Nothobranchius furzeri: one gene and its partners. The protein of the gene in region 1 binds, or shares a complex with, the protein of each later gene. Links are inferred from orthologs where the notes say so. Each region holds a gene or a part of one and is shown in the gene's direction. Other genes may lie near its edges.

Evidence for each region.
Region 2: the proteins of tbc1d23 (region 1) and stx16 are in contact, whole or in part, in a crystal structure (PDB 8QQF), measured with the Homo sapiens proteins. The link is inferred for Nothobranchius furzeri from reciprocal best matches to the Homo sapiens genes TBC1D23 and STX16. Residues at the interface, in NP_001186127.1 of Homo sapiens: Leu638, Asn639, Ser640, Val641, Val642, Lys643, Ile644, Thr645, Ser646, Lys647, Lys648, Ser661, Ser662, Ala663, Ile666, Thr683, Lys687, Ile690, Met691; in NP_001001433.1 of Homo sapiens: Asp209, Asp210, Asn211, Thr212, Leu213, Tyr214, His215, Arg216, Phe218, Thr219, Glu220.
Region 3: the proteins of tbc1d23 (region 1) and fam91a1 are in contact, whole or in part, in a crystal structure (PDB 8JJ9), measured with the Homo sapiens proteins. The link is inferred for Nothobranchius furzeri from reciprocal best matches to the Homo sapiens genes TBC1D23 and FAM91A1. Residues at the interface, in NP_001186127.1 of Homo sapiens: Arg533, His534, Val535, Ser536, Ser537, Asp539, Val541, Gly542, Lys543, Pro544, Tyr545, Arg546, Val548, Pro550, Val551, Phe552; in NP_659400.3 of Homo sapiens: Arg49, Glu60, Arg61, Tyr64, Asp84, Ile85, Lys88, Gly89, Leu90, Arg91, Ile92, Thr93, Phe95, Ser96, Ile159, Pro161, Tyr176, Ile177, Thr178, Glu179, Asp181, Ile182, Lys190, Asp194, Ile197, Asp198, Tyr216, Asn217, Lys218, Gly219.

The regions. Positions count from the first base shown.
Region 1 is NC_091756.1:62,664,280-62,667,927, reverse strand, and holds part of tbc1d23 (TBC1 domain family member 23), read left to right. Parts: coding exon 1-39; intron 40-224; coding exon 225-269; intron 270-919; coding exon 920-1,008; intron 1,009-1,087; coding exon 1,088-1,223; intron 1,224-1,357; coding exon 1,358-1,552; intron 1,553-3,648. UniProt on the Homo sapiens protein: Putative Rab GTPase-activating protein which plays a role in vesicular trafficking. Involved in endosome-to-Golgi trafficking.
Region 2 is NC_091743.1:50,492,020-50,496,192, reverse strand, and holds the start of stx16 (syntaxin-16), read left to right. Parts: upstream 1-1,347; 5' UTR 1,348-1,550; coding exon 1,551-1,676; intron 1,677-3,408; exon of another isoform or gene 3,409-3,622; coding exon 3,623-3,634; intron 3,635-3,761; coding exon 3,762-3,869; intron 3,870-4,173. UniProt on the Homo sapiens protein: SNARE involved in vesicular transport from the late endosomes to the trans-Golgi network.
Region 3 is NC_091759.1:177,135-180,782, reverse strand, and holds part of fam91a1 (protein FAM91A1), read left to right. Parts: intron 1-116; coding exon 117-229; intron 230-303; coding exon 304-413; intron 414-711; coding exon 712-824; intron 825-912; coding exon 913-999; intron 1,000-2,213; coding exon 2,214-2,343; intron 2,344-3,648. UniProt on the Homo sapiens protein: As component of the WDR11 complex acts together with TBC1D23 to facilitate the golgin-mediated capture of vesicles generated using AP-1.

The DNA.
Region 1 (3,648 bases):
GATCAGCTTCATCGAGAACACCTCCACCCCTGTAGAACGGTAGGGACCCGCTCCCCTTCTGAACTTCATGTTTAGAGCTCTTCCTGTACCACTCACCCGTGGGTTTAATAGGAGTTTAAACCGGACTGAACTGGGCTGTCATTATTCTGATTGTTAAAAATAATACCACAGCTTCGTTGTAATGCAAGACAAAATAAAGTCCCCTGTGCCTTATTCCACACTAGAATAACTTTCAATCTGCCCTGGCCAGAGAAGGTGGTCCAAGATCGGTAAGAGCTCCCAAACATTGAGTCATTCCTCACCAGCATGCCCACTGGCTTTAGATTTGCACCGGTCCTCTTTTCTACATGAAAGCATGTCTCGTAGCAGCATCTTCCTAATCCGCTCACTCATAACAGCAGCAGCAGCACACTTTCCACACGCCGAGAGCAGCCTGTGTCTACGGTCTTTGTTTCATGCTTTCACTAACAACATGTGGAGCTGCTGCAACATGCAAGTACTCATCCGTACATCCTGACGTCCCTAAGGCTGTGGTCTAGTTCTCTTTTTAAAAACGAAACAAGTGGCTGAGAAGCTCTAGGACACGCCTGGCCTTTGCCTTTGAGATGCTCTAAACTGTCTTTCCATTTCATTGTTGTTTGCTGACGTGACAGCCAGGGCTGAACACAACGTTAGAAACGCTGCAGTTTGCTGCATGTGGCCCGGAATATCATACAAGTACTAATGTGTTGATTCTGACGTGAACTAAAAGTGTCTCCTCTTGTGTTTACCAGCATAATCTGTAGTGGGCTCATGATTTTCACTGCAGCCTGAGCTCTCCGTGTCATTGCCGTTTGTCTGCAAGCTCACACTGGTTTTTAACCATCTCAGCTCCCTACACCGTACCAGTAATGCTGATAACTGCCTTTGTCGTAAACAGACACGTGAGCAGCAGCGACCGAGTCGGCAAACCTTACAGAGGGGTGAAGCCCGTCTTCAGTATTGGTGATGAAGAGGAGTATGACACTGGTGAAGAACCAGTACAGTTGGAAATGTGCCCGTTCGGCTTTTTGTGAAACCAGTTGACGGGATTTTTTATGTTTCCCAGATGAGATCGACAGCTCTTCCATGTCGGACGATGACAGGAAGGAGATCGTAAACATTCAGACCTGGATAAGCAAGCCGGATGTCAAACATCACATCCCATGTAATGAGGTGAAAGAGACGGGTCACATGTTCCCCAGGTGAGCTGCTCAACTTCCTGTTGGTGTGGAATTAGGAAGAAAGCTAACAGGAAGCTCTGACACGTCTTTCAGCTTCTGTTAGACTTGAGGAAGTGGGAAATCTCTTGTCTCTTGAAATCTCGTCTCTATTTCAGTCACTTGCTGATCACAGCGACTCACATGTACTGCCTGAGGGAGATTGCCTCCAGGAAGGGATTTGCCTACATCCAGTCCAGACAAGCGCTGAGCTCTGTGGTGAAGATCACCTCTAAAAAGAAGCACCCTGAGCTCATCACATTCAAATTTGGGAGCAACAATTCAGCTGGAGTCGAGATTTCTGCAGTTGAGAGGTGCTCATAGATAAACACAAGCAGTATTGGAATTGTTTTTATTTAATGATGTTTTATATTTTCTAAGGAGTTTCTCCCACTGAGAGGTGTCGAGCAGGGGCGGTCGTACTAGTTGTCCCCCATCTTGGTTCCCGTACGTTGGGGTTTACCCTGGTGAATGAGAGGGTAGCCTCCCACTGCCTAAGTGGGGGGGGACGGGTTCTGACTGTGGTCTGTGCTTATGCACCAAACTACAGTTCAGACTACCCACCCTTAGAGGGGGTGCTGGAGAGCGCTCCTTCCGGTGACTCCCTCGTTCTGCTGGGGGACTTTAACGCTCTCGTGGGCACCGACAGTGAGACCTGGAGAGGTGTGGTTGGGAGGAACGGCCCCCCCGATCTGAATTTGAGTGGTGTTTTGTTATTGGACTTCTGTACCAGTCATGGATTGTCCATAATGAACACCATGTTCAGACATAAAGGTGTCCATATGTGCTCTTGGCACCAGGATACCTTAGGCCGCAGCTCGATGATCGACTTTGTTGTTGTTTCATCTGATCTGCGGTGGCATGTCTTGGACACTCGGGTGAAGAGAGGGGCGGAGCTGTCAGCTGACCACTACCTGGTGGTGAGTTGGCTCAGATGGTGGGGGAGGATGCCGGTCAGACCAGGCAGGCCCAAACTTATTGCGAGGGTCTGCTGGGAATGTCTGGCAGAGTTTCCAGAAGGACCTTTAATTCCCACCTCCGACAGAACTTCCAAAATGTTCTGGGGGGAGGCGGGGGACAATGAGTCCGAATGGGCCCTGTTCCATGCCTCCATTGTTGAGACGGCCGACCGGAGCTGTGGCTGCAGGGTCGTTGGTGCCTGTCATGGCGGCAACCCCCGAACCCGCCGGTGGACATCGATGGTTAGGGATGCTGTCAAGCTGAAGAAAGAGTCCTATCGGGCCTTTTTTGCCAGTGGGACTCCAGAGGCAGCTGATTGGTGAGACCATGGAGCAAGACTTCCGCACGGCTTCGAGGAGCTTCTGGTCCACCGTCCGGCGCCTTGGGAGGGGATAGCTGTGCGCTACCAACACTATTTATAGTAGGGACGGTGTGCTGCTGACCTCTACTCAAGACGATGTGGATCGGTGAGCGGAATACTTTAAAGACCTCCTCAATTCCACCGACATGTCTTCCATTGAGGAAGCAGAGTCCGAGGACTTTGGGTTGGACTTTCTAATCTCTGGGGCTGAGGTCACTAAGGTTGCCAATAAACTTCTTGGTGGAAAGGCTCTGGGGGTGGATGAGATCCGCCCGGAGTTCCTTAAGGCTCTGGGTGTCGTAGGGCTGTTTTGGGTGATGCGGCTCTGCAGTATCACACGGACATCGGCAACAGTTTCACTGGAATGGCAGACTGGGGTGGTGGTCCCCCTACCGCAGAGTGAGTTCCAACTACAGGGGGATCACACACCTGAGCCTCCCTAGTAAGGTCTATTCAGGGTTCTGGAGAGGAGGGTCCGTCGGATTGTTGAACCTCAGATTCAGGAGGAGCAATGTGGTTTTGCAGGTTCGAGCCCCGCTCAGTTTGTCGCTGTCGTTGAGTCCTTGGGCAAGACACTTAACCCCCCTTGCCTGCTGGTGGTGGTCGAAGAGACCGATGGTGCCAGAGCTCGGCAGCTTTGCCTCTGTCAGTGCACCCCAGCTGCAGCTGTGGCTACATCGTAGCTCATCCCCACCAGCGTGTGAATGGGTGAATGACTGATTGTGTTGTAAAGCGCCTTGGGGGGTTCCAGGGCTCCAGAAGGAGCTATATCAAATACAGGCCATTTACCATTTACCATTTCTGTTTTGGTGGCCTGAGGATCAGGTCTCTTTTTGCAGATGATGTGGTCCTGTTGGCTTCATCAGAACGTGATCTTCAGCTTTCGCTGGAGCGGTTTGCAGCCGAGTGTGAAGCAGCTGGGATGAGAATCAGCTCCTCTAAATCTGAGACCATGGTCTTGATTCAGAAAAGGGTAGAATGCCTTCTCCGGGTCAGGGATGAGGTCCTGCCCCAAGTGGAGGAGTTTAAGTATCTCGGGGTCTTGTTCACGAGTGAGGGGAAGCTGGAGCGTGAGATCGATAGGTGGAT
Region 2 (4,173 bases), on another chromosome or scaffold:
TTACCACAATCCCTGCTGAATTACCTTTGGTTGTTTTATTTCTATTTCCATTCTGTCAGCTCTCTGCCTGAGTTCAGTATGTGTTCTTTACAACCCCTTAATGCCTGGCAGCTCCTTATCAGATTCATATGTATAATTATACATGTTTAGACTTGTGCTCAATGTCACAAATGTTCTTCTCTTTCCAAGGGATTTCTTCTCCATTAACAATTACCCCAGGATTTTCTTTGAAATCAAAATACCCTGACTCTGCTTGTTTTCACATTCACTCTCACACCCTGTTGCTTTTTTTGCTTTTAGGTCAGGGCTGTATGGACTACTATAAACCTCTTTTACATTCAAGAGAAAGAAAATGTCAAATCCATCCATCCATTCTCTTTTGCATATCCAGGGTCGGGTCACGGTGACAGCAGCCTAAGCAGAGAGGCCCAGACTTCCCTCTCTGGGATAATCCTAAGGCCAAGAGACGTACTCTCTCCAGCGTGTCCTGGGTCTTCGTTTGGGTCTCCTCCCAGTTGGACCCGCCCAGAAAAGCTCACCAGGGAGGCGTCCAGGAGGCAACTGCCTCCTCTCGATGTGGAGGAGCAGCAGATCTACTCCGAGCCCCTCCGGAATGACTGTGCTTCTCACACTATCTCTAAGGGAAAGCCCAACCACCTTACAGAGAAATTTCTTTTGGCCGCTTGTATCTGTGCTTTCAAACACATTTTCAAATAAATAACTACTTTGTTGCACAAGCATTCTTACTTAAAATTATTGTGTGTTTAATTTAACACACAATAGGGGGCTGAAACAAACATAAAAGTTATGATTACACACCAAATAAAAACACAGCTATTTAAATTATTATAATTATTTCTATAGTTGGCTGAGTCAATAACCAAAAGACATTAATCAAAAAGGTGTTGATCCTCTTGAACTATAATTTTTTACTCTGTTCAGCTTAAACATGTTTTAAAAATTTAGCGATCGATCTTGATATATTTTATTGATTTCCTTTGTCTGTGAGGTGTCACTACTAAATAAAAAAGTTTACATCGGAAAATAAACTGAGTCTCACGAGGAGACAATAAATTAACAAAAATACAACAAAATTAGAAAACAAAATAGCATAGACTCACATTGAATAAATAATAAATCACAAATATAATGGATTTTCTGAGGCAGTGGGGGGCGATAACATGCTCCATTGCTGATGACAGTGCGGCTAATAAATCGTAGAAGAAGCGCTTTACGCCCGCAGATGTTTACGTTAGCACTTCCGTAGCTCCTTGTAAGCGGAATAACGTTACCAGTTGGATTTCAAATCAACCTTTTTCATGAAATTCTCGGTTTTATCCAGCGTTCACTACTTCAGGACTAAACATGCTTAACAAATCATTGTGACTCAGCTCGATTGAAGTCCACAGCATCCGTTTTATCGCGAGTTTTCCCTCATTCATCGCAGGTGAAGCTAAGTCCGCTGCGGCGTTAGTGGACGTTATTTAGCTAAATTTATCATTTGACCTGCACTTTGTCCTGGGTTAATTTAAAATTCAAGCAAGCCAGTCATGGCCACTAGGCGTCTGACCGATGCCTTCTTGTTAATGCGGAACAATGCGATCCAAAACCGGCAGATTTTGGCTGAGCAAGTGAGTACAAACGAGCCCCGTCTGAGTACACGTAGCAATGCTGCGGTGAGTGGTCTGCTTCGTTCTGACATTTTACTGTGTGTGTTTGCATGTAGCCAGTCACCGAGCCCCCCTAGCTAGACCCACCAGTGTTCTAATAGCTGACCTATAATAATCTGAACGGATTATGGGCTGTCAGTGTTTATGTGGCCTCTAGTTTCACCTCAGAAGAGATGGATGAGTCCTTCAGGTGATGAGGAAGAGGAGGACAGATTTCCTGCTGCAGAAAACATCTTTTATAGATTACTTACAGGAAAAATAACTTTAAATAGTAACTAAAATAAGGTGCTGAAGACATAAAGAGTATGTTACTTATTAGTAGAACGTGTGCTGTGGTTTATTTTAGATTAAAATGTCTGTGACATGCATCTGAAGCGGATATATTATTAATCTTAAGTAAGTTCCGGGATCTTTTCATTCACACTATTTATCTGAAGTAACCGTCTCCCAGATCAACTCACACATGGAGACAAAACAATAACACTTGGGGGTGCAAACAAAAACAAACCAGATCTAATTAGTCCAAATCACCACAGAAATTAACCAAGAGTTTAAATAAGATCAAAAACTTGTAAAAAAAATATGCATCTAATCAACTTATTTTTAACCTTGAAATACTACCTCGCTACATGTAAAATCATAAAAATAGAAAAAGCAAAGCTGAGCCAAAATACTCAAAAGTTGACATTCTTTTCCTGCTGTTGATAAAAACATTCTTTAATGTCATTTTGTTAGCACAATCGGGTCCTTGTCTGTGAAAATAACAAGCCTGTTGGAGAGACTGGCGTCAGAAAGGACTAACATGCAAAAATTCATTTAGTAGATTTTCTGTAAATGGTTTCTTGCTGGATGTTGAAAATACAGCTTAAGTCATGCTAGAAGCTCAGAGCTGTAGTCAACACGTAACCATTCACGTTCTGCTGTGAATATTTGTAGATGTATGTGTTTCTCAGATATCACACACATATGAGAAAGTCCTTTCAGTTTAAAGGCTTCCATTTACCAGAGAAAAATCAGAAATTTAACATTTAATACTCAGTTTTTCCAGATCTGACAACTATTATGGTAGTTGTTTTGCTGTTAGAAGTAAAAAAACAAACAAACATTTTTTCAAAGCCAGTGAATTTTAAAGAGCAAGTCACCCCCAAATCAATAATTTTTTTCTGATAAACTATATAAATGTGTGTCTAATCGTGCTACAGACACGTGTAGTCAGTAGTTTTGCACTTTAGTGCATGTTAGTTAAAATTTTAATTTTCTGCCTGAAACTGTCAGAGTTGTGCCGTTGTCAGGTAAAAACTCTTCACTGCATTTGAATTTAAATCTGCCACCGCTATTGGCTAAGAGGTATGCTGTGATGTAAACTGGTACATTATGATGTCACAATGTCGTGAGTGTGTGTATTTGTTAGTGGCTCCACCCTCTCGGCCTGCTAGGCAACAGCATTTGTTGCATTTTTCAAACATGAATTGGGAGTGATATGCTTCTTGTAAGGGGTGACTTGCTCTTTAAGTACCGGTAGTCAAAATTGTGCATTAACACCAGAAAATGGTCTAGAAAGCAACAGTTCTATTTGTTTAAAATCCAAATACTTTCACACAAGAGACGTAATCATCCAAAATGGATTGTTAGGATTTTAATTAATGAATTAAATAATCTATTTTTAACTTTTCATCAGCTAATCCAGTCTGGATTACTTTTTCTAATTTTGCTGCTGCTCACACAAAATGATTTAGGAGTTTCGATGTGTCAGAGTTTCTGTACTTACACTAGCTGTTCATATGTGAATACTGTTGATCTGACATTAGCTTCAGTTGCTAGGAGTGAATACAGAAACCCTGTTTTGGGGGGATTGCTGCTGATTTTCGGGGTCTTAATCTGTTGTTCCTTTTATTTCCTGTCTTCGTGTTTCTGTGCTGGCTGGAAACTCTGCTCTCTGACAATCACATTAGGAGCTTGATGAGGTACTGTTAGTTCTCTTCACGTCACAATCTAATAACTCCTGCTGGAGGCATAACATCTAGGATCATGGTCACACTGTTATCTTGTTATATAAAACACTTCAATGTAATTATTTTTGTTTTATTTGAGATGGCTGATGACCGCATGGCTCTGGTGTCCGGCCTCAGTCTGGATCCTGAAGCTGCCATTGGTGTCACTAAAAAACTGCCTCCCAAATGGATAGACGGGGTCGATGAGGTAAAATGCAACATTTGTGTCCATTCAGAAAAATGTTTCCAACAGAAAATGAACTGAATACATTCTGTTAGCAGATCTCAAACCACCGTCTTGTGGTACAAGTGCTTTCTCTAGTGGTGCCAAAGAGAAATGCTAAAATCTTACCAGGTGCATTTCTCTATTGGGAGTCGTAACTGTGTGTCATGGATTTTATCAATATGTTTATCAATAACCCATTTCCTGTAGTCGAAGAGAAAAAGAAAACAATGAACAGACAAGTCAAACAGTTATAACTGTGGCATAATGCACGAGACGAAATGCCCTG
Region 3 (3,648 bases), on another chromosome or scaffold:
CAAAAAGTAAGAAAAGGGTAAGTTGGCCTTTTGTTAATAATCTGTATTTTGGGGTTTCATTCTGATGGGGTTCACTTGGGATTGAGCGTCGTTTATCCTTGTTTCCGTTCAATCAGAACGCCGTCTCCATGTACTGTCGCCTCGGCTTTGCTGTGAAGAAAGGTCAGGTGTTCAGCTCCGATCAGCTGCACCCCAGCTGGAAGAACGCTCCGTCTGTAAACAGACTCAGGTACGTTCCTGTCCACCAATCAGCTAATTTTACAACTCCACTTGTGCTGTTTTGATGTTTTGGGTCTGCTGCAGGAGCACCATGGACCCCCAGAAGATGCTGCTGTCCTGGGAGCAGGGCAGCCCCGTGATGGAGGCAGGCTCCTCAGCCACAGACACCGACACCACCAGCCTGGAAGACCAAGGTCTCTCCACGGTCCACATGCCGGTTCTGCAGCGTGTGCAGATAATTATGCATGCTGATACGTGCACACGGGGCACTTTCTGATTGCTACTTCAGAAGGTTTGAGGCAGCACCGCTAATTAATGCCCAGGAAAGCCAAATTTTAGGTGGATGGGGTTGTTTGTGAAGTAGAATTTATTTCAACACATCCACTAATTCATCTTTAATTGAGTCCTTACATTTACTTTAGCATGCAACAATGGAGCTGCAATCAGCTGCTAACATATGACTGCTTTATGTGTTTTTTAACGTCTTTGTAGCTGAGACGGGCAGCGTCAGCAGCCTGAGCATCCCTGCTGCTCCCACCAAGAGGATCGCCTTCCTCTTTGACTCCACACTCACAGCCTTCCTCATGATGGGAAACCTGTCTCCGGTCAGTGACCTCGTGTGGACTCCCGCCAAGTCTCATAACCAGAATTGAACAAAAAATTTTTTATTTATTTATTTTTTTGTCCCATCAGAACCTGAAGAGCCATGCGGTCACCATGTTCGAGGTGGGTAAGCTGTCTGATGAGACCCTTGACAGCTTCCTGGCTGAGTTAGAGAAGGTGAGTTGAGCTGTCACTAGAGCCTCACCTGGTGTCGTTCTTTGCTTTTAAAGGGGACGTATTATGCAAAACTCGCTATTTGCTTCCTTTTTGCTGCCATGTGGATCTCTACTGCCTCTATATATACTCCGAATGAGTAAAATCCCATCCATCTGTTTTGTGTCAGTCAGTGCGTTTACAGTCAGTGTTAGAAAACCAAATGATTGACTTGGTCCGGCTGAAGTGGAACTGAACTGGACTACTTCCAATAGAGCTAAAGTACCCAGATAATGTGGTTAGGAAACCAAATTTCTCTTCATGTCGACAACATCCCAGCTTAAGCCGGGCGTACACTGTGTGACTTTTTCACTTTTTTGAGCCGATTTTCCACTCGTGCGAGAATCCACGAGATCGGGGCGAGTTTTGCGCCGAGCGTCGTGTAGTGTACAGGCGGTTACGAGAGGCGATTAACACCACATGATCAGCTACCGATCAGCAGTCGTGAGGTCGCACGGACTTCTGGCGTGTTTAATATTTCGCTCGTCCCTCGTGAGGGTATCGCACTGTTGAAGCGGCGCTGCGAGCAGCTGCGACCCAAAAAGTATCAGAACCGCTCACAGCGCATGCGCAATCCTGCGTCAACACCGCTCGCTATTTCCCTAATAACACACGCTGTTCGTTTTTGTTTCTACACGTTTTTTTACTCATAAAGATTGTCAAGAAAGCGTGTTTGTCGTGTTCATGTCAAATTAAACTGATCACAAAACACAGATTTACTTTCTTTATTTCGTTTTCCTCATCCAACCCCCATAAATCCCCGTGTGTCCTCCTGCAGCACTCCCGAAGGACAACAGGCAAGACAAGACAAAAAAGTCTGACGTGTTGAGTAAAAACTGCTACTTTTAGCACATTTTTAGGGCCGACGTGTTGCTACCAGACGTACAGTGTGAGCAGTCAGGTCGCATGCGAGAACTGGGTCGTGCAGTGTGAGCACACGACTCGTGAGATCTGCCCTGCGAGGAAGTCGTACAGTTTGAGCTGAAGCTGAACGCTGCGAGTGAAAAAGTCGCACAGTGTCCGCCCGGCTTTAGCCAAGCTGTGACCTGCCCAGGCCCTCCCCCTTCTGGTGGTTATGAGACCACTGAAGCCATTCATTAACGTATTTTTTTCTACTTTAAAACTAAAGAGTAATATGTTCCCTTTAAAACACAAAAAAGATGATATTTTTTTCTCAGGTGGAGAGCACGGCTGAGGGTGAGGCCCAACGTTACTTCGATCACGCTCTGACCCTTAAAAACACCATCCTCTTCCTGCGTTACAACAAAGAGCTCACTCAGGATCAAGGACCCGATATTCCAAATATAGGTAACTACTTGTGCACAAAATCCCAACACCTGAGCCGGCACCTCTGTCCCCCACACACGGTTTCTTGTGTTGTAACATCATTTGTTCTAAAACCCTCGGAGGTTTTTAGCTTTTCAAAAACACTTTTCAAACCTGAACATGATACCGACGAGACTGCAGTTGAAGAAGCCAGCTGGGAGGTCGTAACCTAAGACAAACGGCTACATTTGCAATCAGACGACGGCCCTTCAAATTTTGCACGTCTAACACATAAAGATTCTCGTTTTTCATTTCAAATGATTCATGCCCGTATTAATAAGCGACAGCTCTTCGCCATGTGCAGACCTCCTTCTCAGATGTTTCAATGCAATTCGACAGAACGGAAATAACATTTTTAAAGGTGCTGCTGGGCGTTTTTAGTGTCTGCAGAAGTGCTGATAACATTTTATAATCATTAGAAATTATGTGGCATGTTGTGGTAAAAACATTTATGTGAAAAGCTTTTATTTTCTACCCTGACTCTGTTACTAACGAGGCATTCTGAGCTGTCATTACCACACTTGTTGTAAACAACCATTGTAAATGTTCCCATTCAACCCGCTTAGTGGTCGTAGAAAGTCAATAAGTAATTAAAAGCTGGGAATTCATCTGGAAGCAACAAAAGAGGAAGTGGATTTGTGTGAACATATCTCTGTGTCGCTCAGAGATTCTCCCTGGATCTGTATTTTTTACTAATCACGCTCATATAAATGACTAAAAGCAAACCTGAGGTGTTTATCTTGTGTCTCGAGGTTCCCCAGCGCAGAAAATGTCCTGCAGCACAGAATAAAGCAACTCTTACGTGTTTCTGTTGAGCTGCCGTTGCGCCACCAGATGCTGTTTGTTTGCTTTGGCTTCCTGCCTCGTCTCTGATTGTCTTTGTGTCTCAGACGTCCTCAAGCTGGTGTTCTGCAACAGATGAACCTGCCGGCTGAAGCTAAACCCAGCCTCCGATGCTTCAGTTGTCTTTTTTTCATTATTCATTCCATTAATGAAGGTTTTTTGCGCCCCCCCCCCCCCCCCCCCCCTTACAGATTTGTCCTGGTTTTGCTTTTGTCACATTTAACTCATTCACTGCCAGAGTTTCTCACCATTTTTACAGTTTTTTTAAGAGTCACATAACGTTGCGCGCTAGGATGATGTCGACGCCAAAACAACCAAAACAAAGCGTAGACTCACCTCTTACATCAGGAAGAATCCGCACATTTCGAGCGTTATCCGTTCCTTCAGAATCTGTTGTGGAATTGTGATCGGCAGAAGCTTTTCCGGTTCGCGCCTCACTTTTTT